2 linked regions of the Arabidopsis thaliana genome follow. The protein of the gene in region 1 interacts with the protein of each later gene in a biochemical or structural test. Each region holds a gene or a part of one and is shown on either strand. Other genes may lie near its edges.

Region 1 (3,760 bases):
TAGAACAAAAATCCGATCTTTTTTCCCCCGGGAAAATGGAGATAGAGAAAAAAAAACGTCTAATTTTATGATCGTTATTTAATTGTGATACAAGTTTCGGTTTCAAATGGTAATGAAGATTATTAATGCTTTGATGATGGGTTAATTTCTGGTTTATTAGTATTTGGATTATTTTAAAAACTGAAATTGCTTTCAAGTTGATAAATGATACACTCATACATAACTGTCGATGGCTTTTCAACGGAGAAGAGACAAGTCACGTCGTAGTAGTTACCGAATTTTTAATCGAACGTTCCCATTTGCCAACCAGTGTATAGTTTCTATATCTTCCAACCCGGGTCGGGTCATTTGAGAACCCATAAAACTATGAAACCCATTTCAGCTAATAAAGCCCATTTGCAGAAATGAAGCCCATTTACAGATTTCATGTCTGCAAATTAAGTACTCATTTTCTGCAAATTCTCTCAGTACTTATAGTAATCAAAGAAAAAACACACAAATATGTCTTTAATCCTTACAATACTATCTAACACCAGATGTCTGAAAATCAAAAGAAACCAATAAAGCTTTACAAGGTATTTCAATGATGTCGTGAACTAGACTCATACAATGAACTCACCAAGTCATAAATCTGCGTCAAGCTTGGTTGCTTTAATGGTGGTATTATATCAGTACACATCAGTCCTAGCGTAATGGCTTGCTTAACTTGATCAAATGTTCTCCCCTCAATCTTCATCTTCTCATCAATCACTCTCTCTAGATTATCCGGATAATGAACTCTTATATACTCAAGATACCTTCTTTCTGAATCTTCTTGTCCCAAATCAGGTCTTAGATTTGTAATCATCTCCACAAAAAACAATCCAAAGTTGAATATATCTGTAATAACACAACAACAACAACAACAACAGACTTAGCTTTTATAGCCTTAAAAAGGTTTTGATTTTTGCAAGAAGAAGATGAAGCCTTACTTGTTGACAAGTTGTTTCTATCTCCAATCTTGAAATGAGAAATCAAAGGTTCTTGATTATCATCGGATAACAAAACACTGCTTGTGGTGAGATCAAATGTAATCTCTGGCCATTGATCTGATAGATAACAAATACCTTCTACAACTCCTAGAACTACTCTTAACCTTCTTCTCCATGATAAAGCCATTGACGAACTTAACCAAGTCTCAACATTTTCACCTTGAATCCATTCTGTAACCAAAGCTCTCATGTTTCTACTATTACACCAACCCAACACTCTTACCAAGTTCTTGTGTCGTAACTTAAAAACCATCTCGCATACCTCTGCGAATTCACGCCTTTTCTCACTCGAAACCTTCTCTTTATAAACCTCGATCTTCGTCTCTGTCCCGTCTCTTAACGTTCCTTTGTAGATATCCACTGTATTGCTCATGCTCACAAGATGTTGATCTGAAAACTCATCCGTTGCTGCTTCAAGCATCGCGAATGTGAACTTGTTTCTTCTCCGGCATGTTCTTGGTAAGTAATCAGGTCTCTTGACACATAACCAGCCAAAGCAAAAACAGAGCAAAATCACCATTATTGGAAAAACAATCAACAAGACCAAAACTTTCATCTTGTAACGCTTCACGTTGGGAAGAACACCGGACTGTATGAAACTAGAGGCGTTAAACCGTTTGAAGAACTCAGAATCCGAGATCTTATTCTCGGAGAATCGGTTATACGATAGGTTCAAATGGGTCAGATTGGGTAAGCCTGAGAGATCTTGAACCGGAACAAAACCAGAGAATTGGTTGTAACTCAGATCAAGAGTACGAATCTGAGCACAAGACAGAACATTTGTCGGAAAACCATTCGTTAGAGAGTTATTCACTAACTCGATATCAACGACGGTTAAAGGACAGTACTTCCAGAAGAAATCGAAAGAGAGGTAAAGAGCAGCGGTTTTAGGACGACCGTGAATTCTGATTCTAGGGAAAGATTCAACGCAGTTAGGGTTTTTGGACTCGTTACAGAGATGACTAGCGACGATTGTGGATCTGAAAATCTCGACAATGTCCATTGGAGAAGAGGAAGTGTTGTTGCAGTAACGGAGCATTGGATCACGAAGACAGTTGTTGGAAATAGTGGTGTTGAAATCAGGAGGTGGACTTAGATTAGCGAGGTCTTCGACGACGGTTGCGGAGAATACTGAGAGAGGAAGATAGGATGATAGTAGTGACGTGAGGAAGAAGATGAAGAACAGAGAAGACGCCATTGGAGAGATAGAGAGCAAATAGGTTTCGTTATTTGGTTTCGTGTATGGGTGAGATTAGAGAGAGAAGCAGAGAGGTAGTTTCTGTGTTATTGGAGGTGTTGTTGTTGTTGGCGGTTATTTTGAAACAGAGTGGGATGAGATTTACGCGCCCATTTTCCTTTTAGTGATCGTGTGCTTGGAAGTTGAAGATTATTAAAATAATAATAATTGTGAAGTTTTTTAAATTTTGTGAATATCTACACTTTTTACAATAGCTCCACTATGAAAACAAATTTCAATGTTTAATTATCATTTTCGTTGTCATTGAACACATAATAATGTGTTTATGTCAGTTGGTAAAAAATTATCTAGAATGGTTTTGCTTGTATTTGTAAGATTGTGCCTCGAATTCCTTTCATATATTTCTTGTCTCTTTGGTCTATTTATCTTGTTCTAAACTTTTTCTCTTTCTTGCGCAACAAACATCTACGTGGGTGAATTTGAGTCGATAATTATTTGGTAAATGTGCTCAATGTTAAATATAATTTTTGTTTGAGAATTGAATTGAATTATATAAACTACTATCAATAAAATCTTCAATAGTTTCACTTTATATCCAATGAACTTTATATTTCTGCAATTTTACCAAATTAATATGCCTAATTTAAAATTTAGATTTATAGAATCATATATATAATTTTTAATTTTCTACATTTCTATTTTTATTCATCTAATCTATATGCATTTAATTTCTTTAATTGGTATAGTTTCCTATGTTGTATTGTTTATTATTTTGTTATTAACATATTTTATAATTTTTTGTATTTTCTTAATTAAGAATAATAAAAATATATAAAAATAATAGTTATTGTCTTAATGAATCTTTAAAAAAATGGAAATTCAACAGGAGCTAAAAGGTAAACTTTTGATAAAGAAAATAAAATTTATTGCAAACTTACTCAGGCTTCTTAATTGTTAGAGAATTTTACACTAATGCAACGCATTAAAAGGTGAATTCAACAGAAGCTAAATGCTACTTCCATGAGCACTAACTCAAAAAGTGAGAGGAATAGTCATTTGAGATAAGTTGAGAACTAGGCAGTTTTTAGGGAAATAATTTGAGAACTAGACAGTTTTTTTAAAAATAGGCTGATAGGGTAGTTTCTTCTGTCCTCTCTAATACAGCCCTCCTCTAATACAGCAAATAGTCAAAGACCGTTTTACCCCTCTTGTGTTTTGATGAAAACTAATGGGCCAAATTCAAACCAGCCCAATATCATTCAAAATTCAAGATTTGTCATGGGCTAATATCACAAAACTCAAACCCATTTGTCCTCAAGACATTGAAACCAAACATAAACTTATCTCCTAAACCCTCGTTGAACATAAACTTCTCTCGTCGTCGACATCTTCTCTGAAGTCGTCATTGTCAAAAGAAGATAAACCCTCGTCACTTCGAAAATCATACACACATTGTCAAAATCTGTCGAGATGGAAGGTATGAGTTATCATAAGAAGCTTTACAGTTTATGAAATTGAGTGTACGGCCAAC
Region 2 (3,760 bases), on another chromosome or scaffold:
ATGTACTGTGTATCGGCTAATTAATTGGTCATAAACTATTACTTTCAAATGAGTTCTACGTACTATTACTATAGTTTAAAAGTAAAGTAAAATCATATTCAATCAACTTAGGAACTCAAATTAATATTGTCTAATTAACACAATGTCATCATCATATAGAGATTTGACTGCACTAATTAAGTTATCATGGACACTTTCTTTCTGAAAATTCTCATTTTCTCACTCAAATAATAATTTCATTCTATAAATAGATAATGAAATACACACACATCTATCATCCACCAAAAATATCATCCACCACTACCCACGAAGTAAGAAAATTACAGAGAAAACGGAATATCTTTTAAGTAGACCTTAGCCTTTTGCTTTATTCTCTTGCTTTATGTCTTTCTTGTTTCTGTAAATTCACATGTTACACTTAGAGGAGAGCGAGGTGTTGGTCCATTTTACCTTTTGCTATGATCAGATATAGAAGATAGCAAAAACATTAACTCAAGACAAGTTCACATGTTTGTAAAATTTTACGTAAATTTGTTTATTAATTGTGTTAGAAAAATGTTCACATGTTGCTACTATTGACTTGCCTCCATCATCTTCTTTGTCCCATTTGATGTACTCTTAGCCCCATGCCTCTTGGATGCCTTTTTTACCTTTTAATTTGTTCTTATATAATATAAAATATTAGCTACCCTTTTTTTTGTTATTCATGGAACAATTATTTGCATCAAATATAGTAATTTAATGGAATAATATCAAGAAGATCCCATTTATCTTTGTACCTTATTCTCCATGTGAACATATAAAGCTTGTTATCAGGTTATTTGTACATGTAATATCTAAGGGTGTTTACTGATGATGATCGGATAAACTCGAGGTTTGATTTAGTCAAATATAGTTCTTTTCTAACTAAAATCCCAACCTCACAATTTTGATGTTTTTCAGTAAATATGGTCATTAATAAGTTATGAATTCGCTAATTAATAGAAATTTATAAGAAAACATATATCCAACATTTATGGATATATGAAAAGTTAAAAACAAATGATATAAAAAGTACAATTTTATAGCTGGTGCACTGAAAAAGAAACAACTTTTCTTACCATTAAATCCAGGGAGAATGGTATCATTTTCAATTTTGAAAAAAAGCTAAGATTCGCCTAACTATTATTGTTTTCCTCTGAAAAGACTTTAAAAGTAATCTTTACCGTATAAAGTACAGAAAATGAAATGAACTCGTGGACTTCAATGTTTTCAATTTTCATGAGTCTTTTGTTTTCCTTCAATTTCCAAATAAACTTATATATATATACTAATCAATCAAAAACAATCCACTCAAAATGTGAAACTATACATGTAGAATACTTGATGTAACATGAACAAACAATCAAAATATTGTAGTTAAAAAAATTTACTGTTGATTTTGATCAGTAATATGTGTAATTAAAAAGTGATAAAAAGTCAAGTGGTTTAAAATTATCATAAGAGTAACATATGGACTATGGTTCAAATACTTTCATTGCAATAACAATTATGTATAGTTAGCTACTATATGAATGTCTTAATACATTGCAATAACTTACATTGGAGATTAGTCTATATACATTTATATATTAAAAAATTAGAGTTGTGATCTATATAGTTCTCTATGTTATCATTTTACATTTTCATAGTTGAACTAACTTTTTATTATTATTATGTTCACGATATCTATACTTTTGTGGTTTAAGCTTTTCTTAGTATTAACAATCAAGAACTACTATTTTATAAATACAATGGACAAGATTTTTTCTTCAAAACCACAAGAGAGAGTCATTTTCATTTTCTTCCTCATCTCTCTCTCTCTCTTCTCTCCAACCAAACATGGTCTCTCCACTCACACTCTTTCTCATCCTCTTCTTCTTCTTCCTTTCTTCTGCACTGTCTTCCTCCTCCTCAGAGCTCGACATTCTCCTCGATATCAAATCCTCTCTCGACCCTGAAAAACGTTTCCTCACTTCATGGACTCCCGACGCCGACCCTTGCTCCTCTGGCTCCTTCGACGGTGTCGCGTGCGACGGAAACCGCCGTGTTGCTAACATCTCTCTTCAAGGAATGGGTCTCACTGGAACTATCCCTCCTTCAATCGGTCTTCTCACAAGCTTAACCGGTTTATACCTTCACTTCAACTCCTTGACCGGTCATATTCCTAAAGATATCTCAAATCTGCCTCTCCTCACCGATTTATACCTCAATGTCAACAATCTCTCCGGTGAAATCCCTCCTCTAATCGGGAACTTAGACAATCTTCAAGGTCGGTCTATTTATGCATGTGTTCTTTGTTAACCTCACTCACTATAATTCATTTATTGCAGCTAAAACACCTTAAGCGGGTCAAATTTGGTTTATTAAAACTTAGCTAAAAAGAGTTTAGGTCTTGAATGGTGTAGATTTTAGTTTTTTTTTTTAATCATCCATTCAAGTTTTTAGATTTTTGAGTCTCCTAGAAACTAGGGATACTCTCTATTGTCTCCTTCATCTTTCACTCTTTTTTATGCAAAACTCAAAAACAATTTTATTTGGGGTTTTGAAACTAAAATGTAAAACTCAACAAAAATAAGGGCAAATATAATTGCATCTATATATTCATAACACTTTTTTTTTTTTTTTTGCAGTTATACAGTTATGTTACAACAAGTTAAGTGGAAGTATACCGACACAGTTTGGTTCTCTTAAGAAGATAACTGTCTTGGCTTTACAGTATAACCAACTCTCCGGCGCCATTCCGGCGAGTTTAGGCGATATTGATACGTTAACGAGGCTTGATTTGAGCTTCAACAACCTCTTTGGTCCTGTTCCGGTGAAACTCGCCGGTGCTCCTTTGCTTGAAGTTCTCGACATTCGTAATAACTCCTTCTCCGGCTTCGTTCCCTCTGGTAATAATTTATTTTCCCTCAAGATTCATAAATTCTTCAGATTCTAAACCGGTTCAGTGTTGACCAATCCGATTAAACAGAACCGGGAACCAATCCAAAACCGGATCGTGGAGAACTTAAACCATATCAATTCTAAACCGGTTTTTACAACCACATTAAAGATGTTTTGCTGACTTGTTTGTTTCTTGATTTTTATGAATTATGAAGCTTTGAAGAGGCTAAACAATGGATTCCAGTATTCAAACAATCACGGTTTATGCGGAGATGGTTTCACTGATTTGAAAGCTTGCACCGGCTTAAACGGTCCGAACCCTAACCGACCAGACCCAACAAACCCAACGAATTTCACAACAGTTGACGTGAAACCAGAATCAGCAGATTTACAACGAAGCAATTGCAGTAACAACAATGGCGGGTGTTCATCAAAATCCTTAAAGTCTTCACCTTTAGGAATCGTCATGGGTCTAATAGGATCAATCCTCGCAGTTGCAATCTTTGGCGGTTCAACATTCACATGGTACAGACGAAGGAAACAGAAGATTGGAAGCAGTCTTGATGCAATGGACGGTAGGATTAGTACTGAGTACAACTTCAAAGAAGTTTCTAGAAGAAAAAGCTCTTCTCCATTGATCAGCTTAGAGTACGCAAGTGGTTGGGATCCGTTAGGACGAGGACAGAGCAGTAACAACAACAGTGCATTGTCTCAAGAAGTCTTTGAGAGCTTTATGTTCAATCTTGAGGAGATTGAGAGAGCTACTCAGAGCTTCTCTGAGATTAACTTGTTGGGGAAGAGTAATGTCTCTTCAGTTTATAAAGGTATCCTTAGAGATGGTTCTGTTGCAGCTATC

The links. The genes of interacting proteins can lie anywhere in the genome.
Region 2: the proteins of AT4G20790 (region 1) and AT2G45340 form a complex in vitro, tested with the Arabidopsis thaliana proteins (one large-scale study listed by BioGRID).

The regions. Positions count from the first base shown.
Region 1 is NC_003075.7:11,134,195-11,137,954, forward strand, and holds AT4G20790 (Leucine-rich repeat protein kinase family protein), read right to left. Parts: upstream 2,230-3,760; coding exon 972-2,229; intron 880-971; coding exon 581-879; downstream 1-580.
Region 2 is NC_003071.7:18,689,879-18,693,638, forward strand, and holds the start of AT2G45340 (Leucine-rich repeat protein kinase family protein), read left to right. Parts: upstream 1-1,785; 5' UTR 1,786-1,860; coding exon 1,861-2,290; intron 2,291-2,651; coding exon 2,652-2,912; intron 2,913-3,119; coding exon 3,120-3,760.